4 linked regions of the Arabidopsis thaliana genome follow. The protein of the gene in region 4 interacts with the protein of the main gene of each other region in a biochemical or structural test. Each region holds a gene or a part of one and is shown on either strand. Other genes may lie near its edges.

Region 1 (7,158 bases), on a different chromosome or scaffold from region 4:
ACAACAAAGGAAGTGGAGCCAATGCAGTTACACATCTTGCAGCTTTGATAATGTATGATGATCAACTAAGAGAAAAATATATATAGCTCATGCTGCAACTATGAACATTGTCAATACATTTATCTCGTTGGTTGATAGCTTAATATTCTTGACTTATAAATGTTCTTCCATACACTAATTATGAGTATAACTATTAGTCTACTCTAGAAATTGTTGATTCTTACACTAAAACGCAATTTCGTAATTTTGCTGGAAAATTTGATTTCGTAATTTGATGTGCTACAACTTGATTCTTAAAATTGAGCACCAAAGTAGAATGTAATGTTTTATATAAACTCTTTGATTTCTCTAATCTGAGGTTAATGATAAAATTACATAAATTATGACATACAAATTTTGGCATAAATTATTTTAATGAATTTTGTAAAGATTTTTTAATAATATTTTCTCAAATTTGAACGTAAGAAAAAACTACATAGAAATTCTACATCTTTATGCATCAAAAAAAATATGATGTTTTAGATGCAACTGAATCTGCATCCAAATATCGCATTCATACAAAAGTACTAAATTGGACAACGAACAACATCGTCATCTAGTACATTTGCATTTATATGTTGCAATTGCATCATACACAAGTACTACATTGGACAAATGAACAATATCATCTAGTACATTTTCATTTATATGTTGCATCCGGCTATATATGTAACTGATGTCTTAATACATGTGAGGCTAAAACAAAAATACGCTTAATTATCCTTCTCTAGAGTTGGCATCAATAAAGTTAGGGTCTATAGATTAGTATCATGTATTATGACTTGGTGGATGGCTCTTTTGACCTCAGCGATGCTTGCTTTCTTCCCTCTTACTTTCGCCCTTATCTCCGCCTCGAAATCATGGTCGTTCACCGAGGTATGAACTGCCGTAGTCTCTATACCAAGCTCATGAAGAACCTGAAGAATGTCAAGCAACAAACCATCTCGGTACTCACATCTCATCTCTAACAAAACATCATTCTCTATGATGGAAACCTCCACCTCCTCCGATGTTTTTCTCTTACAAGTACGCGTCCGCTTATGCTGTTGCTCATGATGAGTATTCTCAAGCTCATGGACCCTCTTTCGAAGATGATTTACGTACGCAATGGTGTCTCCAAGGATTGAGACTTTATCCATCTTGGTCACAAATGGAACCATTGATCTCAACGTTATGAATTTCTCGTTCAGCTTCTCCCTCCTGCGTCGCTCTGCTACTACGTGGCTCAGATCTTCCCGCGGTAGCCTCTTATCTTTAGTGTTGTCATGGAGGAAAGGAACTCTGAAGATCATTTGTTTGAGCACCCATTGTGACGACGGCGCCGTTTTCACTTGCTGATGCTCTTTGCCATTCTCAACCCTCCACGTGGCAAACGATGATTGGATGTAAGAAGATGTGGAAACTGAATCTGAAAGAAGACTTGTGGGGTGTGACATGAGAAGTGTTGTTACTGTCTGAGAATAGTTTCCACCTTCCTCCATTAGATTCATCATGTCCATATGTGTGTCTACATATATATACAAATGATAATTTCTTAGATATAGCGAAATAAATCCGCAAAATATAAGTAGCTTAGGGTAGATATATATACCTAACGTATGGGTTGATTCAATATGAAGATCAGAGTGTAGATTTTGATTGGAAACATCTTCATCATCAGGAGAGCCAAGCCTCATTTCCTCTGACATTGTCATCTCTTCTTCTACTTCTTCTTCGTCTTCGGCTTCTTCATGCACTTCGTAGGTGGAGTGTTCAGAAAGAGCCGGCTTTGGGTTCGTCTTGCAGTGGTCATAGAAGAAACTCTTTGTGAGCTCAACAAACTCTACATCTTCTCTTACCTACACACACAAATACAACAAATAAATATTGATCCATCACTACAAAAAAAAGGATAGATTACATCAATTAAATAGTATCACAAGTATAAATGGTACAAGTTTAAATTACTTATAAGCAAATGACACAAAATAAATAATTAAACATCAATTATAATAAGTGATGTATAAATTAACATGTTTAGCGTCACTTTAATCAAATTGATAGAAATTTGTATTAGTTTGCATCATTTTAACAAATTGATACAAAAATCTGTATTTACACCAATTAAATAACCGATGTATTCACTTAATTTTATTAACATCAGTTTATAAAAATGATATAAAATTATACATCAATAAGAAGTGATGCTAATAAGTTTTTCTGTATTTTAATTTAAACAAAAAACTAACTTGAATTTATTGTAGATGACGAGAAATTGTTATTACCATAAATAAATAATCATATTGGGTTAATAATTTATTATTAATTCCTATATTTTCCCTCAAAATCAGCTAACTAAATATATTTGTTTCCTTCACTATAAATCCTGCTTTTACGCTCACGATCTTTTTTTACAGTTTTGTATCCAAAAACGTTTTTAGAATATCTTCAAATTAGTTTTTGAAATCTCATAACTCTCATTCAATTCTTCATCTTCAACGACAAGTACTTTCTTATTTTTCTATCATTCTATCTTTCTCTTTTTCTTAACCATTGCTCAGTTTTTTTCTTTTCTTTTATTTTCAGAAATCTGCCATTGATCATTAGGACTGTTTGTTTTCCTACACAGTTTGGAGAAACACAAAGTAAAGGTACTCTATCACTTTCTTTTAAAAATACTTACAAATGGTTATTCTTATTCCGACCAAAACAATTCTGTAAATTTTCAAACAATTACTCTCTTTTTTATTTTGTACAGCAGAAACTCAAGTGTGATGAGGATTCAAGAGATATAAGTTATAACCAAAGTATGATTTTGATTCTGTAAATGGAAGAGAGATGGCATAGAAGAAGAAATGGTATTTTTCAAGAAGAACCAACAGTTAATGGAAGGAAGAAGCATGGAACAGAAGAAAGATGTGTTTAAACACGAAGAAACCAAAACCAAATTATGATTATTTTTTTGCTTATCTTATATAAAGATTTATTGTTCATGTAAAATATTTTATTAAATCTTGATAAAATTTTAGTAGATATTCCAACGAGTAATTATCCACAATGATCTGTTATTTAAAAAAAAAAAAGAAATAAATAAAATAATTATTTGAAATATTAATAACATTGTATTAATAATTATATATATATTAATTAAATCAGTTATTTAAACCGAAACAAATACTAACATCACTTAAATAAATTGATGTAAACATTACATCATTTTTAGTAACTGATACAATATTGATATCAATTATAATAATCGATGTAATTATTTTGATTATTTACATCAGTTACTAATTAACTGATGCAAATTATTTGCATCAACAATATTTAAGTCACTTATTTAAGTGATACAAAATTCTTTTACATCACTTTTAACTAATGCAAATATTTATAATAAATGATGTAAAACAACCTTTTTTTTGTAGTGCATCTCCTTAATTTAACATTACTAAACCTAAAGAAAGATAGGCTATATTCACTTTGTTATTTTGTTTATATATTTCATTAACAAGTAAATAAAAGAGAGAGTATATACAACGTTACCTTTTTCGTTGTGCCTAGTTCCACAACACCATCAAGCATTGGAATGCAAACCACTGTCTGCTTTTTTAAAATACATTTTCATCAGAATACAATTCTCAAATCTTACTAAAAAGAGCAAACTAATAAAGACAAATTTTACCTGAATTTTAGCACTCTAAGTCATTGAGGAACCGACGTAAAAGGCCCATAAAACGACAAGAAGAATTATTCAAGTTAATCAGTGAAAATGTATAAAAGTATAGATAAATAGGTTTACAAGTAGATAGATACATAGTATAGTGTATACATAAATAGGTAAAAATAGATGCATAGTATAGTTGGTGAATGAATAAAAGAATTTACCTTAGCGAGAATAGCTCTAGAAAAAGTTTTACTGTCAACTTCATTTGCACCACTTAGCCATACGTGCTTCCTCCTTGCATACGCTTTTCCTGGCATCCTACAAATTACTACCTCCCAAATTTATATTTGATTTTTTTTTACCACATAGAGAAAAGCATGAAGTATACCCATAACTAACCCATTTTGTTATGCATTTATGTTATATCTATTCATGCTTCTACTTTAGATAATCAATCACCAAACAATGAGAATCTCAACGGTCGCAATAATGTTCATGAAAATGTAGTGTGTGTACGTTTCATTAACTCTCATTTCTTTCTTATTCTAGTAACTCAACTTCCTCAGTTTCTCTTTAATGTCAACACAATATTTTCGATATTCGCATTTAACACACAATACTATTTTTGTCTTCACTTAGAGAAGGAAAAAAAAGAAAGAACAAATTTAGAAACTTGAGTATAGGGAGAGAGTTGTTTACCCAGATGGAGGAGGAAAAGAGAAAGAGACGCACATTAGATAAAACCATTCTGTCTCCGTCAAATCCTCCGGTGACAATGCGGTGCATGCTCTTGCTTCTGACGTTGACTCTCCGGCTAAAAGTGTCTCATAAAGCTCCCTGAGCTGTTGGCTCCTCTCTAACGCCGCCTCTTCTGCCGTCACCTCCGCTGGTTGAGTTGTCTTCCTCGTCTTTATTGCACCGTTGTAGTATCCATTCCCCCACACCAAGACCCTAAACAATGATACTTTCATATAAGTAGTTCAAAAATCTTAATAAATTTTGTAAAACCTTCAAAAAAAAAAAAAATTATTTCAAGATCGAATTGTAACACTACGACAAGCCAACAATTAGCCGAATTCATTTAAACATATAGTTTACATAATATATACGGATATAGATATTATGGTTGTATTGTGAGAGATGAATGAACTATAGAGATAAGAAACTAACCGTTGTTGAGGACAAAATTGCCAGAAGACACTATAAGTCCAGTCCACAGATTGAACCGCCGTCTTAAGCAGCCCTTGAAGCTCTTTTTTCTCAGCTCCGGCCACTTTCTCTGCCGGAATAATACTTGATTCATCCATCGTTCCCGGAGATACGAAAACGTGGTAGCTCTCTCTCTAAAAATCTTATAACTTTGAAGGGTTGTTATTAATATGTGAGAAGAATTTACTCTCATACGCTCATGATGACTTAAAATGGTATGGGACCACTGATTTTTGCAATATGCATGTATACGTATATCATCTTAGTGCTTTTGCAACATGTTGACATAAGTAAAGTATAATGCATGTAATGACTTCTATGTATATATGTATGTATATGAATGCATGACCAAAACTCAAGTGCATTAAAAGTTGACTTTTGATTTTTGAATGGTTGGTTCACCAGACGTTGGATGAGAAAGTGAAATAATGAAAGATCTATGTATCTTGTAGACGTGTCATATACTAATTGGACAAATCAAAATACAGAATGAATATATCTAATAATGCTATATTTATTTATTGTTCAGAAAGCATAACATATTATTGTAGATAAAATAGCTAACTGACAAACAAATGAAAACAAATGTTGCTTTGACTTGTGTTACTGCTACAAGGAGCAAAGAAATTGCGTTTTTCACATTTCTATTATTTATAAAATTGATATTAAAATTATATATTGATTAAAATGTTCATTAACAATTTTAAGAAGTTGGAATTATTGGATGAACATTCATATATATTTTCTTTAAAATGAAAAGATAAACTTAACCAAAGATGGGGAATGGTAGAATTGTTGACCTGACCGGTAAGTAAAGAATGAGAAATGGTTTGGTGTAATAAAGGAGAAGAATGAGATGTTTCACATTTGAGTTATTAAATTATTGATGTTAATTGCTAGCCAAGTAGCAGCCACTAGCCACTATAAGTTTCCCATTTAATAATGTCTTATAAAATATAAATGTAGATAGATACTGTTACGTACACATATCGTAGTACATACGATTTTGGGTATGGTTAAGGGTAATGTATGTACACCTGGTTACTTAGACAAAATCAACATTGAATGTTTCTTGGCTTTTTTGTCGACAAAATAAATGTTGCTTGGCTTTTGCTTCTGCTTCTGTGTTTCTTATTACATGTTGTTTCTTCTGAGTTTAGTCGTTCACCAATTATGTAACTCTGACGACGGGCCACGTGGAGTGGTTTCTTCTTATTGATTTTGCTTCTCCTTGTGTGCATCTTTGTGTTTATAAATAAAGGTGTTATGTAACTCATTTCTCATTGGAAATGATTCAAATAACAGAAAATAAACAATACTGTTCTAACACAGAAATGAGCGATTGGTTATTCACAATCACAAGGACAATGCTTTAGTACATAAACGAGAGGTTGGTTAGGCACAAATGTTAACTAAAACCCAAGTTCTTCCATTCCAGAAATGACAAATCATTCCTATTTATAATGCTTTGTTTTCAATGAAAATGACATTAGCCAAAAGTGTTTTGGCAAGAATTAGTTGTTGGAATACAATATATCTTTACAACGCACAACTGCATGAGCTTTGAAGGACCCCGGCCGGTTTATGATGAGAGTGAACTATTTGAAAAGTGGACCACATAATTGTAGAAAAATAATGGGTAATATAGTGTGATGCAAATTGGTGTGAAGTTTTTTGAGTTATTTTTTCTTTCTTTTTCTGAAATGTAATCATTCGTGTGAATGAGAGATTTCTTGTATTTTGTTCAATATATTAAGACCCGGTCCAAACCGGTCAGTTGGACCGTAATCCCATGATCCCGTTGGGGATCCATGGCTAAAATCGCCATGTATTGAACCCTGAAAAGTTCATCATTAACTTGTGATCTGACCGAATAACGATTTAAAAATCACTTACATCAATCTAGAGGATTTGATTTTATAACCTTTTACCACAGTTAGAGGAATTAGTTTGACATTTTCGGATAACAAATAGTATGGTTTTCTTTTTCCTAACCCTTTTTTGCTACCCAAAACCTAAGCTTTATAATCTTTCATAACATGCGTAAGATAGTAAAAATATCAAGCGGTAATGACTAATGAAAAGACAAAAGTCTAGTGTCTAGTGGTATATTTTAAATTCTATCAATAAAATTTTGTAATTTTTCTTTTAGTCGTGTGTATTGTAACATTGACTAAACTATGTGATTTATGATTCTTCAGATCTTGAGGAAGAAATTACATTATCTACAAAAAAAGGGTGTAAGTGATGGAGATAGACAAAATTTA
Region 2 (6,404 bases), on a different chromosome or scaffold from region 4:
AAAGAAAAATATTTTTAGTCATTAATTTTGGTTCTACCTTCTAAATAACAATATTTTAGCTTTCCAATTTGGATCTTTTTCTTGATAATCAAGTTTACCCATTTTTCTATATTTTATATTTTTACACAAATTAGAAAGTAAATTAGAATTCACCTTAGAATTTAAAGGAATAAGATTCATGTTTTTATACTATTGTTTAAGATTTTTTTGTCAACACAAAGATTTTAAATGATAAGATAAGAGTACTCTGGTTTTCCATTAATATATGAAGATTATTTTCAGTTTGGGTTTGAAATATCCTTGATATTAAACGAAAAGAATAACATGAGTTGGTAAGTAAAACATAATAAGACATGACTAGATAGGTAAAATTACATAAAGCAAATTAGAAAGTAATTTGGTCAACACCTCTAAATTTGTAAAAATAAGATATTACAGCATTTATTTTTGTTGATTTTCACTATGTTATTTCAATGAAATCATTTATGACCCAGTTAAGGAAATTAATCTGGATTTCTTATCATAAACTTTACCTCTTTGTTATCCATGAAAATGCCAAAATGCAGAATCTTCTCCCGTTTCGTGTGAAGCTTTTTGACCACTAATTTTCATTTACACATTAATGTTTTTTTCCCCGTAATTTCACATCAACCTTGTGCTTAAACAACAAAAGAACACAAAATCATCTAAACTGGCTATTACTATTACTAATACCCTTAAAATAATCTACCTCAAACAAAATACGCATAGTGTATGTTCCTCTTCACCTACGTTAAGCAACGGAAAAAAAGACACAAAAAAAAAACAAAAAACAAATGATAAACATAACATTAATTCCTAAAACCCGGTTAGAAGAAAACCAAAGAATAGAAACCAAACCGGGAATGTTTTTTCTTTGCTGTCAATTTTAACTAAGTAGTCTTCAACAGATCCATGCAACCCTTTGAAGTGCTTCTTTGATCATTCCTGGTGTCGCTATTTTTGACCCCTTGTGCTGAAACCAACACATTTCATGTCAATCTAGGTTAACCAAATCCTGGTTAAGCCAAAAGTAGGTTAGAGAGTATACCTTGCAATTGACGGTTAAGCAGAGCAAACCGTCTCCGGTCGAGGATTGAACCGAATGAGAATCCAAATGGAGATCACTAATCACATCCATTATCTCAAGCAATACTCCTTCTCTCCAAGCACATCTAAGCTCAATAACCACCTCATTACCAAACGAACCGATCCTTAAATTATCGGTTAAACCAGTAAAACCGGTATCTGCTGGCTCGGCTTCACCAACATTGTTAACCGACACCTTCTTCCCATTTCCTGTTTCATTATTTGCGCAATTAGCTGATGTTCTTTCTCCTGCGTCGCATGGTTTCTTCCTCTTCATCGTCATCGTCCCACGAGTCTCTGTATCGGTTGATTCTCTGCAAGATTCTAGTTCTTGAACCCGTCTCTCGAGTTCTTGAAGATACTCTATCGTATCGTCAAGAATCGATACTTTATCGATCTATCGAAAATGTTAAACATAAGATTAGTTACCTCGCGATATATATGGATTTGAAATTTTGAAGAATCGATTATATAAATATACCTTGTTGATTGACGGAATGATTTTTCTCAAGGTCATGAACCGTTCGTTCAATTTCTCGCGGCGCTTCTTCTCTAAAACCGCATGGTTCCCAGTTTCATCTCTGGCTTCTGGTGAGTCCAACATTAACTTCTCTTTCTGGTGCACTCGCGGAACATCGAAAATAATTTTCTTTAACATTCCTTGTGATGGTGCCGTGACCGTGGCGGTTCCTGATGATGATGACGATGATTTCTTCCACCTAGTGAAGCTTGACTGTTTATCGCAGTTTCGAAACTGCGGTCCGAGAATTAACTGATGGTTGGTCTTAAAAATCGTTGAGATCACACTTTGGTAATGAACGTCGTCGTTTCTTGGATCAAATGACAATGTCTTCACATTTCTCTGTTGCTCTTGAATTTGCCCTAGTCTTTGAACTCTACTCTTTCTTGCACCGTAAGCAACCCGTCCAGCCGCCCCTTCAACAAACGTTTGAGAGACGCAATCGCTGGAATTTAGCGACTGGTGAACGCAGTTACTAAGCTCGTCGTCCATGAGCTGCCAGCTTTGCACCTGAGAAGCTCCTCCAGTGATTCTTTCGGTCATGAAAGAATCATGATCATCTGCTACTTGTTCATGTTCTTGATCGAAACCGTTGGTAGTTCTGCTCGGAGAAGCTGTTGGAAAAGGCTCCGTACTGAACATAGGCGCGTAAATCTCGTCGCCTAGAATCTGTTGCGGATCAAGAACGTTGTCGATGTGATAATCGGATCTTGCTGGTAATATTGTAGCGTACGGATCAGGGGCTTCGAGGAATGATGTCTTCACGCATTGTATTACATTCATGTCTTCCGTAATCTACGAGACGAAACACACCAAGAAAAAGCCTTGAAAAAGTTTTCAATTATAACTATACCAACGAGCTAGTAAAAAGTACAAAAGCCGTATTTTCGCGTTTTGTCATAACCAAACCGTGGAAATCTTTAAAAATCGAGACTACTAAAATATTAGTTTGTGTGTTCTTGGTGTCTATACCGTTATTCGACAGATTGAAGGGTCAAATTGAAATGTTAGAATACATTGTGGTAATTTTATAATTATTCTTTTTTTCTTAATAAAGGATTTTCATAATAATTATTCTAAAACATTGGAAGCAGAAAACACAAATATTGGCTTACATGTTCTGTGGTACCAATCTCAACGACTCCTCCAAGGAACGGGAAGCAAACCACTGTCTTAACCGCAGCACTCTAAACCACCACAAAACGCAAACAAAAACGAACGATTTTAGTGTTTTCAAATCGCAAAAAAGTGTTACATAGCAACTACATCAATACTACAACTTACTTTTGCTAGAAGAGAACGGCTAAACACTTTACTATCCGCCGTATGAGCGTTGCACAACCATATCGGTTCACCGTTTGCAAACGTCCGTCCAGGCATTCTGCAAAAAGACAGGTTCATTTAGAAAGCAGCAATGCATTCTAAGCTTAATTTTTCCACATTTTTTCTTCCTAACATATTCATAATTATTGAAAGTTAATTAGCCGTGTTCATAAAGACCAAAATGAAACGAATTTTTTAATTAATCCGGACAGAAACAAACTTTTGTGATGATAAATAAACCGAACTAAACTCGAATCGAACACAAATATACTGCAACCAAACCGAATTAATAAAATTTATTAGATGTAGAATAGAGTTAAACATACTAATGCATATATATACACATTATTATTTAAAATTAATTATGTTTTAACTTTTTCTTTTGTAATCTGAAACCGACCAAATCCGGACATTAAATTTTGAAACCAAACTGAAACTAAAAAATTGGTTCTAGCTCATACTTTTTTCCTGCAGAACCCTGAAATCTAACAAACCTAAACTGAACCATAAAAGTCGAAATCCTTGGACCTACTAGTATTAAAAGTATATTTTGGCACGTTGTTTAAAACTGGCAAAGATCAACACGATCATGACACATAATAAATGTCAATGCTGATAGAGGAAAAGACGGAATTACCCTTCACCAATGTTGAAGACGAAAGACATACAAACCAAATAGTACCACTCGGTGTCGGCGAGATCTTCCGGTGAAAGTGCGGCGGCGGAAGCTCGTCTGGTGACTTGAGATCCGGCAGCAACGCCTGAAGAAGAAGATTCAGCGACGGAGAGAGACTCGTAAAGCTCGCTAAGCTGCTCGCTCCTCCGTAGACCAAGCTGATCAGCTTTGATCTCCGAAGCTTGAATCGTCTTCCTCGTTTTGATATCTCCATTATAGTATCCATCTCCCCATTCTAAAACTCTTTTTATATATAGAAAAACAAAAACAAATATCAAATCGAATAAAGAAAACAAACAAAACATTTTCTTGAACTAATCAAGAACTTCAAGAAGAAGAGAAAAAAAATTGAACTTTTAAAGAAGATCAAGAAACCTTATATGAGTTTATAAGAAAAAATCAATGGAATCAAGAAAAACCTAGAGAACCTTGTCTTGAGTTGTAGAACTAAACACTAGTTTTGATTTGAAGTGAACACATAAGTTTTATCTAATTTTCCAATTAAAATCAAGAAATTTACTTCATCAATATCTTTCAAAATCTCCAATATCTAGTGTTCAATGAATATGATTTAAGAAACTTACCCAGACTGAGAAGCAGAGACAGACCAAAAGATACCATAACTCCATTGAATGTTTCGAACTGAAACTGCGAGGTGTTTCTTCAGATTCTCTGGCACAGTTGTTCTGTTTTGTCCGGTAGCCATTGTTTCTTCATCCCTATATCCCATGAAACCACACACAGGGAAAAAGAAAAGAAAAGAAAAAAATCAAACTTTTTGTCCTGATTTAGAAAGAAATAAGATACTATGTTAAATTTATAGCCTAAAAAAGAAAGAAAAAGGGAAACTTGTAACTCTTTACATTTTTTTTGAAGTATCAGAGAGGATACAAACTAGATGTTAAGGTTTTTGTGTTTGTCATTTGATGAAACAGTTGCCGTTTTCGCCGGAACAAACAGAGAAATGTTTGAGAGTTTTTTTTTTCTTTGGTCACTCCATACTTTTTTTTTATTAATGTTGTTTTGAATATTAATTTTGTTGTTGTTTGAGCTTGAACTCGAAAGACTAGAAGAACTGTCTACGAATCCTTTTTTTCTTTGAATATGACGATATCATCTTTGTTGTGTACAGAACAAAACACAAGACATTTATGACGAAAATAAAAAGTACTTATAATTTTTTAATGATTTATGAGAAAAAAAAAGGATACAAAAGTAGAGGAAAAAAGCAAAACGCTGATGTTGATTGATTGTTCCTCTTTTTATCTTGAAGTTGATTGATTAGTTCCTCATTTGGGAAGAACAACCTTTTTTTAAGACAATGAACTACAATGTCCATTGTTGTGGTCTTGTCTTCAATAAATTCTCTATTCAGTCTCTTTGTGGTTCTAGAGATCTCTTTTTTTTGGGAATATTGAATCATTGTGTGTCTCTTCCAACACTGATTTTAAAGTTAAAATGTTATCACGTCAAGGCTGAACTTTTCACCCATCTATTCTTGAAAAAAAATGTTTCCCTCACTTAATATCCCCACTGATACCAAAAAAAAAAAATTTGTTTCCTTGACTATTAGATCTTTGAAGCAATGTTGACTAGAATACCATTAGCATGTGATCCAAGTCCAATCTAACCAGCATCGTATGATTTCTTTCATTTTGTATAATCTAATCAGTCTTATTACTATTTGAGTGATCGAAATATATTATTGTCGGTGAGTAACATCGTTTTATGAATTTTCCAAAAGTACACAAAACGACCAAAAGTATAATGTCTCAAATCAGAGTATATGATTAACATATATAATAATAGTAAAATCATCAGCTTTTTACTTGGTGTCAAAACGAAGCTAATCGCTATGAATCTAAATTATAGTCACAAACACAATAATAGATAAATTGAGGAGGAAAGAGATAATATAAGAACAGTCTTTACTAAAATTGGGAAACACAAAGAAAGACACGAAATTAATGTTTGGCCTCGAGGAGTTCCCCCAATACGTACAGACACAATCTTAATTTTTGCAATCACATCTTTAAAATGAATAAAAATGTTATGGACATTTTCGACGTTGATTCTCCCTATAGTCATATACTTACAATATTATTATATTTCAAAATTCTCTTATACTATTAAACCTATATTTTCGAAGTATTTATGCAACTATTTAAAATATAACTTTAAATAAAACCCTGCTAAATGGACCATTAGTACTTATTATTTTCCTTTTCTGACATCTAGAAAAGAGAGAGACGTTGACGTCAGAAAACATTAAAATATATATACACGTTCGGTCCCCTACAAGATCAAAGTCTAAACATTCGTAGTGCTGTTGATCGGAGGTTTCGGTAAATTAATCGGATGTGTTGATGTTTGAGGGTAATATTTAGGAAATTTGGTATAGCTTTCGATACAACAATATAAAATTTGTCTGATCCAAACTTATGTAACACTAATATATATTGTTATTTTCAATCAGAATACTAACTCAAGTTAAATGGGGAATTCAACTCCTAATCCGATGAAGCCTTGCTGGTTTGGATCAAGACGTCATCTTCACTTCAACAACTCCATCTCCTGACTCCTATCTTTCGCTATGGTTTGCTAATTTCCAACAAAATTAGACCACATCTTTACTGATCTTACTAGAACACTCGTCTCTATATGTTTATCTTATTTGATTGTATCTGAGCATTAAGGCTCCTCTGTAAGACCTCTTTCATATATATAAACGGAACTAATTAAAAAAAGAAGTAATATATATATATATATAGGGTATAT
Region 3 (6,211 bases), 1.2 Mb from region 4:
ACACACTATATACCGAGGCTAATACATGATATAAACCTCAACTTCACCAATTCATGGATCTTCTTAATGGCCACCTACCATGCCAACCAACCCATTAAAGAATTTCCACTCTTTTTAAGTTTCGTTCTAAATCAAGAAATTGTTCAACACAATTTCTAACCCCACATTATGTGTATTTTCAATAAAGTTAACCTCTTACTAAAATGAGAGTGTTACTTTGATGCTACCAAACGAAATCCAAATACAGTATAGTCCTTGTGCTTACAATTTTCTTCCTTTCTTTTTGAAATAAAAAGTTAATGTTAAAATGGTAACACATGTTGAAGTGAGATCTCAGTGGCGTTAGATGCAATTATTTGAAATGACATTACTTCTTTTCTCTATAAGGCAGTGTATTTTGCGAACACTTTTATCAGCTTTTGACCACCATTTCTATCTTTAACTTTTCTAAAAATATTTTTTTAATTTCTTACATAACTTTTCTAAAAACATATAAAGAATATTTGAAGTGAGATTGAAGACTTAAGATACTGGAATCGGGCTATGTAGTATCTCTTTAGATTTTACTATAATGTTTTTGGTCGAACTTGAACTAGTCACAAAATATGATCTCGTTACAAATACTTATACAAAAGTTACTTTCAACAACAAAAAAAAAGTTCTAGTTTACTTACTTTTAAAAATGATAGTGCACGAACTACTACGAGTGGTTTTCATATTTCGCATAATTGAATTTCATAGTATGCTAATTGCTAAGTAAGTAATTTCTTATTGTCTTCTCCTACGTAATGAGCCAAAAGGAACGATTTTTCAAGAATTCTTAAGGATCTTCCAAAACTTCAAAATCACAAAAACTCGGTTAGAATCACTGATTACCGAAAATTGGGAAACCAAACCAGAGAAAAAGCTAATTTTGTCAAATCTAAACCTTGAATCCTTAACATATCCATGCAACCCTTTGAAGTGCCTCTTGGATCATTCCTGTTGTTGCTATTTTTGTCCCTTTATGCTGCAATCAACATTAAACATTACATATCACATTTCGGTTTGCTCATATTCCGGTTGAGTAACATAAATCAAGCTTGGTTTAATGACTGTACCTTGCAATTGACAGTTAAGCAGAGTAAACCGTCTCCGGTTGACGACTGAACCGAGTGAGAATCCAAGTTGAGATCACTAATCACATCCATTATCTCAAGCAATATCCCTTCTCTCCAAGCGCATCTAAGCTCAATAACCACCTCGTTACCTAATGAACTGATCCTTAAGTTATCCGTTAGACCAGCATAACCGATATCAGCTGGTTCATCTTCTCCTACATTCACATCACTCCCCTTCCTTTTGCTGTTCATACAATTCGCTGATGCTCTTTCCTCCTCATCATCCGGTTTCTTCCTCTTCATCATCGTTATCCGTGTCTCTGTATCAGCAGATTCTCTACAAGATTCCAACTCTTGAACCCGTTTCTGTAAATCTTGAAGATACTCAATTGTATCATCAAGAATCGACACTTTATCAATCTGTAGAATCAGCAAGAGACTCAAGCTTAGTTCCTTCAGAGCATTATATTTAAACATGTCTTCCTATTATCAAGAAATAAACATAAAACGTTACTGAAACAGATTTGCTAGAATCGGTTACCTTACTAATTGAGGGAATGATTGATCTCAATGTCATAAACCGTTCATTCAATTTCTCGCGGCGTTTCTTCTCGGACAAGGCATGGTTCCCGGTTTCCTCTGGTGTGTCCGGTAACAACTCTTCTTTCTTGTTCATCAAAGGAACCTCGAAGAGTATCTTCTTTATCATCTTCTGCGATTTCTCTCCCAATGTTTTCACAGATGATGATCGCTTCCACCTTGTGAAGCTAGACCGCTTATCGAAGTTCTGAAACTGCGGTCCGAGTATTAGCTGATGCGTTGTTTTGAAAATCGTCGATATCACGCCTTGGTAATGAACATCGTCGTCCATATTTACATGGTTACTCTGTTCTTGAATCTGACCTAACCGTTGAATCCTACTCTTCCTTGGATCGCAAGCAAGTCTCCCGGTTGTTCCAACAAACGTTTGGGAAACGCAATCGCTTGAATTTAACGATTGGTGAATGCAGTTACTGATTTCTTCACCCACAAACTGCCAGCTTTGTACCTGAGACGCACCACCATCGTTGATGAACGAATCATGATCCTCAGGTTCTTGCTCAAACCCGCTAGTAGAAGTTGTTGGAAAAGCTTCGGTTATAAACACCGGAGTGTATTTATCGTCACTTAAGGGATCAAAAATTTCTTGATAGTCTGATCTTGTCGATATTGTAGTATATGGAGGAGCTTCAAGGAACAACGTCTTAACACTTTGTATCACGTTCATGTCCTCTTTAATCTAAAAGAACAAAAGATAAGTTTTGGGTACTTTTAAGAATGTTTTGATAGTGTTGGAAAAAAAATAGGAAATATAGGCTTACATGTTCGGTCGTGCCAATCTCAAGGACTCCTCCAAGAAACGGGAAGCAAACCACTGTCTGAAGCGAAGCACTCTTTAAAGAGCAAAACGCCAAACGAAAAAAAAAAAAAAAAAGAGCGTTTTCAGTTATAGCGTTCTTGAATTCTAGCGTTAGCGTTTCCAATTGCAAAAAACTTACTTTAGCTAGAAGAGAACGAGTGAAGACTTTGCTATCGGCGGTTTCAGCGTTACAAAGCCATATTGGTTCTCCATTGGATAACGCTCCTCCGGGGATTCTACATTAGAAAGACGGAAATACCCTTTATGTTTTGTATCTCAAAATCTTTATCTTAATGGGAACAAAAGTTTTCTACTACTTTCTTTGAATAGCAAATGTATAATGCAATTATGCAAATGAAGTAAAAACTTATTTCCGTTGTGCTTTCGCATTTCTATCTATGTATGTCTTCTAAGATTAAAAAGAGGTATACTTTAAAAAAACCTACAAACATAAAAAAAATTAAGTAAATATAAAGGATAATTGCATTGTTAATAATTAAACTCGTACATGTCGGATTTCTGAATAAGCTCACATGGAAGAAGAAATGAAGGAGACAAGCTAATAAAGGGTGTTCTTGTCTTTTTTTATGAGACAAAATAAAACATACCCTTATACTTTTTTTTTAGAATTTTGGTATCGTTTACATTTTCTTATAATGTCTACGAATAAAATAATACTATAATTTAAAAACGATATTCTTCATAAAAGAAATTTTTCTGAAAGATAGGTTTTTGTTTTTAAAAAAGGTGAAATGAAAGGATTATGAGGAAGAGACGGAATTACCCTTCACCGATGTTGAAGACGAAAGACATGCATACTAAGTAGTACCACTCGGTGTCGGTGAGGTCCTCCGGTGAGAGAGCGGCGGCGGAAGCTCGTCTAGTGACCTGAGAGCTACCGGAAGCTGAGGATTCAGCGAGGGAGAGAGATTCATAAAGCTCTCTAAGCTGCTCACTTCTCTCAAGACCTAACTGGTCAATTTTGACTTCTGCTGCTTGAATCGTCTTCCTTGTCTTTATGTCTCCATTGTAATATCCATCTCCCCACTCCAACACTCTTCGTTTAGAGAAAACAAAAAAGATAGCCAAGAAAAATTGGATTAATCGAGAAAACATAACAAAAATCGAAATCTTGAAGTAAGGATAAAGTTTTATCTGAGTTTTGGACTAAAGTCAAGAATGTCTCAAACAAAACTTTATTTTCAAGAAAAGTTAATTTGAAGGATAAAGATTACGAGATTGTACCCTGGTTGAGAAGCAGAGACAGACCAGAAGATTCCATAACTCCATTGAATGTTTCGAACTGAAACTGCGAGCTGTTTCTTTAGATTGTCCGGCACCGTTCTGTTTTCTCCGGTTGCCATTGTTTCTTCATCCCCATGTAACAAACAAACGAACAAACAAAGATCAGATTTTTTGTCAAAAACAAAACTTTGTTGTCTTTGAATAAATCAAAAGAGAAACAGAAAAAAAGCAGAAGTGATTTAAAGGTTATGACTAGTCATGAGTTAGTGATTTTTACATGACATTGGTTTGGTTTCCTGAGGAAGAAAGAAGAAGACAACAAAACCCAGAATATATTTATTTTTTTTAACCTTCTATAATGGGAAAATATTAAATATTTGTGACTTTCAAGTTACTATCTGTTGTGGTTGAATTGAGCTTTGAGTTGAGAGAAAAGGACGGTGTCCGAATGACCAAATCTCTTTATGGATACTTATTTTAGGTGTGTGTACACTGTATATAATCACAAAACACTGAACTTTACGAGGAATTTTAAATAAATATATATAAAACAAGATGGTAAAAAAAAAAAAAAGTAGTGTCTAGTGTATAACCCTTTTGAATACGGTGTTCCAAGCACCACTCTCCTTTTGGAAATTTATTTTTGTTAAGAGAAATTAGTTATTTTTCCATCTCTAAAATCTTTTTTCTATCAATGATATGTCCTATTCTCTACGTTTCATGATAAACGATGTTCTGAAGAAATTTGTTTGTTTCACAATATAAAATATTTTCAAGTTTTTATGTAAATTATAGATTAATTTAATATTGTATACATATTTATATTATGCATCAGCTTTTATAATCTGCTGAATTTTTTAAAAAATATTTTTTAATTTTTATATTTTTAATTAAAACATCTTATATTTTGATTTTTTAATTTTTATATTTTTATTTAAAACATCTTATATTTTGAAACGGAGGAAATAACTTTTTTTAGTAACTCATAATATAGGTCTTTAGACTTTAAGCAGAGTTTGAACCAAAAAAAAAATTCATAGGCATAACACTTACAAATCCAACCAAACCAATTTGCCACCCTTATAAGCAATGTTTATATGTTACTGCCTTACTGGTCAAATATATACACAAATATTAACTTGATTTTAAGATAGAACAAATCCTAATGGTGAAACACGAAGAAAGACATGAAATTAATGTTATGCCTCGAGGAGATACCCTGGAGAGAGAGACAAGCTTCTAGTATTGACTAAATTACGTTGTATGGTTTAACTAAAATATAATATATACTATGTTCATTGAATATATATATTCTACATTGTTTTCGAATCTTCGGAAATACCATAGAACATTTGTATAATTGCTAATTAATTTTCTATGCACCTTCATTTTAATTAATCGCAACCTCGTAAATTATTTGTATTAAAGATGCGTACACGAGCCAATTATATATGGAGTTAGACAATAAGGTTATCAAGAACGAGTGAATTTGGGATCTAAAGATAATGTAAGGTTTAGTATTCTTCCTTGACTTCAATTCTAAGGTAAGGGATTGATAATGGGTTTAGCTATGTAACAACCTATGTTGATCAAAATCACGAGAAAATGATATTTAAATGAGATGATTAATAAAGAAGAAACCAAGAGTCATTATTATCATATGCTATGTGCATGCTCTTAATTAATTCTTCGCATCTCCCAAAATTATCACCCCTAACTAGGACTACTTGTCGTGTCTGTACGTTGAAAAACGGAGTCAGATATTGTTTATTTCATGTACTAACTGTATGATTCATAAAACATAATAACCTGATAAATGAAGATTTGTACATTTATATCAACGTGAACGTCTGTGTTTTCAGTAATTTCTTAAATAGTTTTTCTTTGCTGATTATTTTTTTCGTTACTTTCCTAAAAGATATGTCATCTAGTTACACTGTGGTCATCGTGAACACACGCAAACATTAGATTCTGTAGCCTATAGTCTCCGGCTCTCAGCTCAAAAAGGGTCATTTTGACTTTTGCTTAATATATATAATTTGACTATAAAAATGTAGTGAAATACTACAATTCTGGACAGTACTTCTAATGCATTGGACAAAAAACAAAAAAACAAAAAAACAAACTAAATATACACCTCATTTTGTTACACATATGACATATTAACCATTAGCTAGTACACAACTAATAAATCTTTCATTATAATATCTAACGCCGCAGATGATGATGCATTGTTTTATCGAGACTGAAAATATAAATAAATTCTTCACACAATAGAAATAAAAACAAAATATTGAAAAAGTAAAATGAAAGAGATGCTCGCATTAATTGCACGGAACAGAGTCTACTGTTGATAAAAAAAAAAAAGAGTGATCGAACAGTCCATTTTTTGGGGTCCAGTTTATTTAATTTAGCATTAATAACTTTGTCAGCGCGAGCCACTCTCTATGATTTTGATTCCATCATA
Region 4 (3,831 bases):
GTTTTGAGCAAACATAATCAATAATTAATATATGATTTCATATAACTACTCTAATTAATTCAGGAGAGTGGTGTGTGTCTGTGTGTGTGTGGTGGGGGGGGGGGGGGAGGGAAACAATTACAAGTACTACAATAGTACATTGTCATTTATTTGTTGCAGAACGAATAGTGTATCCATTTTTCCTAACCCTACTTGCTTCCATTATTGTATCAATCAAATAATTTTTGTAAGATAATATTAAATAATTATGTTTACTACTGTACTTAAACTAGCTATTATTTTAACGGTTAGACCAAACAGATCTTAATTATAACTTTCTTATGCTTGTGAAATACCACATTACCATACAACCTTCCACCATGTCTACTTGCCATAAGACATATCTTTCATGGTTAAAACTTTCTTATGCTTTTGAATTTTCTATGGTTAGGTTGAGTGATATTTTAACAAACATTATCACCTTTAACTTTAGTTAGAAAATACTGCATTTAGGAAAATACTGTATTTTCTTTGCGAAAAATATAAATAACGTTTTTTTTTATTACGTAGAAACATAACCATTTTTCTTAAAATGCTGAAATTCTTTACTTCATACAGAAAAATACATTACTAAAATACGAAAGAAAAGCCACCCACAATCTTAAACAAACGGTGAGAAACACTAATCAAGTTCAACAGTCTCTCCATCAAACAGACTCCAAAGTTGCTCAACGTCAAACGCCAAAGTGGCCCCATGTTCAGCTGTCGTCGCTTCAGGAACAATCGCATCAGCTTCTTGGTTTTCCCCCAGTAAATTCTCCAACCACATATTATCTCCATTCATTAGATTATTCACAAAATCATCTTTCTCATCATCTTTGTTACATGTGATACTATTTTCACAAACATTATTTTTCTTGAGTCCAAGGCATGAAGGAATTAAATCAACTTCTGGCAGACCATTGAGATGGCTGCAACCATTGTTAACAGAGAAGGATCGAGGTCGAGGCTTAAAAACACCGATTTTTTGGACCGGTGTTGTAGGAGGGGAAATAATGTTTTTCTTTTTCATTTTAGACTTACAACACGAAGACTCATGTTTTTTACTCAGATGGGTGTTCCAGTAATTTTTGACATCATTAGCGGTCCGACCAGGCAATCGACCAGCAATCAAGGACCACCTAAACATTGTTAAATAATATACATATAAGTTATTAGTGTTGAACTTATGGCTCTTGAAATAACCATTAAAGTAAACAATACCTATTTCCTAGAAGCTTATGAAGGCGAAGAAGAAGATCAACTTCATCATTGCTAAGTCTTCCTCTCTTGATACTTGGCTTCAAATAGTTCAACCATCTTAGTCTACAACTCTTTCTGCATCGATTTAGCCCTACATAACCAATAGTTGACATTAATTATACCAACCAAGACGGCTTTTGGGTCATTTTCTATGTTTCATCTTGAAGAATCTAAGCACACCAATAGAAAGATTAAACTGTTTCAACACAGTAACCGTTTGTTCATAAATTTTCACTGACTTCACTCACCAGAAGACAGCCCAGTGAAATAGTTTAACAACTTTACATGAGCTTAGCATCTTCCTTGTTTGTGAAGAATAAGCTATATATATATATATATATATATATATATATATATATATGCTACGTAAATAAAAAATAGTATAACTTTTTTATTTATATAAAACTCTTCGTTTAAATAAACTGCATAAAGAATTATTCTGAATAACCAGTTGTTTTTTTTGTTTTTTTTTGTTTTACCATACACTAGCATATGAATCAATAATTTGCTCCTTAAAACAAAAAGAAAAGTAAAATAAAGATTTCCGAATATTATATATAGAGAAGAGAATATTCTTAGTCATGAATATATCTGTGTGTGTAACATACCAGCTCTCAAAGGAACTTGATGCCATTTGCCTTCTCCATACTTATCAATACATAGCCTCAAGAGACTATCTTCTTCAGCAGTCCATGCACCTTTCCTCAACCCTTTGGACGAACCCTCCATGGACCAAAGAAAAATTAATATAAAAGTATTTTATCGGATTATTCTAAAACTTTTTTAAAAAAGGCCGAGGAATAGGGGGTTATTGTGGCTTCCCAAATCCTGGGAGGACTTATTGATAATGTGAGCATGTGAGCGAATAGGTATATATATACACGTGAAGGGCATAGGAAAATGACGTGCATGTTTGATATCCACATTTCATGTATTTGCGGTTCTGCTTAATTTACTAAGTTATTGTTTGATTTGACTAGAGAAAAAGTTCATAGCACCTTTTCCAGTACTTAAGAAAAACAAATTACACGTTTCTTATCAAAATTAGGAGAAAGGACTAGTAATGATTGGTCTCAGAGGGTTCATGATTACAAGGAAGAGTTATTTCATGCACGAGAAATAGAACAAAATAAAAAAAATAGGGTGCACCTTCTTACAAAAACTTTTGGAGTATTTTTCTTTACTGAAAATTTTGCAAATAATGTTCACAAACTCATATTTCGTCTTATCATTGTTACATGTGAATCTGATACCACCATATTTGTTAATGCTTACTTTGAAAGAGCTAACTTCTGGCTGCCCGTTGAGCCGGCCGTTATAGAATTGAGTTCGAGGCTTTATAACATTGAGTCTTTGGATCGGTGACGTAGCTGAACATGTAGTTTCCCTCTTTCTCATTCTGCTCTTACAACACGGTTCTTCTTTCTTGTTGAGATGGGTGTTCCGGTAATTCTTGACATTATTAGCGATCCGACCAGGCAATCTACCGGCAATCGGTGACCATCTAAGCTTGCATTGGAACAAGTTGTATTGGATAATTACATTATGTAAATAAATTAGATTTGTGTGTGAGGAATATAAACTTGTGTCTAATCAATATAAGTGACTCAATAGTTTACAACAATAGTATATATACCAGCTCTTAAAGGAACTTGATGCCATTTGCCTTCTCCATACTTATCAATGCACTGCCTCAGAGACTATCTTCTTCACCATCCCATGTACCTTTCTTCAACTCAGTGGACGAAGAAGCCTCCATGAACCAAAGATAATCACTAAAAGTATCACAACCAAATTATTTAAAAACTTATAAGTAAATTGCTGATGAAGAGGGTATACATACTATGGCTTACACAAATCCTTGAAAGACATTTGACAATGAGAGTATGTGAGCTATTATATATGTACAAGAAGAGCGTGCATGTTTGATATCCACATTTCATGTCAATATGCAATGATCGATTGCTTCCGTGGTTGCAAAGAGAACAAATTTTCCAAGCATGAAACACATAGCCATTGTGCTTCTAATATCTTCCATGCTTCCAGCCCAATTCATTTCTGGATTTGAAATACAACCCCAAGCTTGTGGTCCATTTAATGTAGCGTATAAATCGCTTAGCCTGCTTGAAGTAAAACATCTTGGGCTACTCATGTGCCGTGATAGATAGCTTATTTGCATAAGCAATACCTAGTCGTGTAGTTATCCGATAGAAGCGACTTCAATTCCCACAATAATTTGATACTCCCTTTCATCTGCCAATCTTTTTTCATTTCTATTTTATACTTTTTCACATTCTTTTTTGTCTCGACATCGTCGACCTCTTTTGGTCTCCACTAGTTGTTACTACTATATATGTAACTCTCAATGTAACATACAAGCTAAACCAAATAACTAAAAGTTACAACTTTCCACATAGTACTAGGTTCTAATCAATGCTATGCGTGGACGTAAAATTTATAAGAAAAATATATATTATTTGATTACATTTATCATCTGATTTAATTATTTAATTATTTTCTATGATTAAATATTTTTGATGATGCACATAT

What was found.
Region 1: the proteins of MYB90 (region 4) and TT8 form a complex in vitro, tested with the Arabidopsis thaliana proteins (one study listed by BioGRID).
Region 2: the proteins of MYB90 (region 4) and GL3 form a complex in vitro, tested with the Arabidopsis thaliana proteins (2 studies listed by BioGRID).
Region 3: the proteins of MYB90 (region 4) and EGL3 form a complex in vitro, tested with the Arabidopsis thaliana proteins (2 studies listed by BioGRID).

Annotation. Positions count from the first base shown.
Region 1 is NC_003075.7:6,179,898-6,187,055, reverse strand, and holds TT8 (basic helix-loop-helix (bHLH) DNA-binding superfamily protein), read right to left. Parts: upstream 5,176-7,158; 5' UTR 4,990-5,175; coding exon 4,853-4,989; intron 4,634-4,852; coding exon 4,382-4,633; intron 4,001-4,381; coding exon 3,904-4,000; intron 3,716-3,903; coding exon 3,701-3,715; intron 3,619-3,700; coding exon 3,562-3,618; intron 1,878-3,561; coding exon 1,631-1,877; intron 1,547-1,630; coding exon 795-1,546; 3' UTR 533-794; downstream 1-532. UniProt on the Arabidopsis thaliana protein: Transcription activator, when associated with MYB75/PAP1 or MYB90/PAP2. Involved in the control of flavonoid pigmentation. Plays a key role in regulating leucoanthocyanidin reductase (BANYULS) and dihydroflavonol-4-reductase (DFR).
Region 2 is NC_003076.8:16,527,385-16,533,788, reverse strand, and holds GL3 (basic helix-loop-helix (bHLH) DNA-binding superfamily protein), read right to left. Parts: upstream 4,700-6,404; 5' UTR 4,492-4,699; coding exon of another isoform or gene 4,490-4,491; 5' UTR 4,357-4,489; coding exon 4,211-4,356; intron 3,870-4,210; coding exon 3,588-3,869; intron 3,009-3,587; coding exon 2,912-3,008; intron 2,815-2,911; coding exon 2,743-2,814; intron 2,423-2,742; coding exon 1,589-2,422; intron 1,505-1,588; coding exon 1,070-1,504; intron 995-1,069; coding exon 923-994; 3' UTR 502-922; downstream 1-501. UniProt on the Arabidopsis thaliana protein: Transcription activator, when associated with MYB75/PAP1, MYB90/PAP2 or TT2. Involved in epidermal cell fate specification.
Region 3 is NC_003070.9:23,597,461-23,603,671, reverse strand, and holds EGL3 (basic helix-loop-helix (bHLH) DNA-binding superfamily protein), read right to left. Parts: upstream 4,260-6,211; 5' UTR 4,022-4,259; exon of another isoform or gene 3,869-4,021; 5' UTR 3,864-3,868; coding exon 3,745-3,863; intron 3,557-3,744; coding exon 3,284-3,556; intron 2,736-3,283; coding exon 2,639-2,735; intron 2,534-2,638; coding exon 2,462-2,533; intron 2,380-2,461; coding exon 1,642-2,379; intron 1,521-1,641; coding exon 1,101-1,520; intron 1,010-1,100; coding exon 938-1,009; 3' UTR 508-937; downstream 1-507. UniProt on the Arabidopsis thaliana protein: Transcription activator, when associated with MYB75/PAP1, MYB90/PAP2 or TT2. Involved in epidermal cell fate specification. Negatively regulates stomata formation but promotes trichome formation.
Region 4 is NC_003070.9:24,762,231-24,766,061, reverse strand, and holds MYB90 (myb domain protein 90), read right to left. Parts: upstream 2,122-3,831; 5' UTR 2,011-2,121; coding exon 1,890-2,010; intron 1,373-1,889; coding exon 1,243-1,372; intron 1,161-1,242; coding exon 662-1,160; 3' UTR 521-661; downstream 1-520. UniProt on the Arabidopsis thaliana protein: Transcription activator, when associated with BHLH12/MYC1, EGL3, or GL3. Promotes the synthesis of phenylpropanoid-derived compounds such as anthocyanins.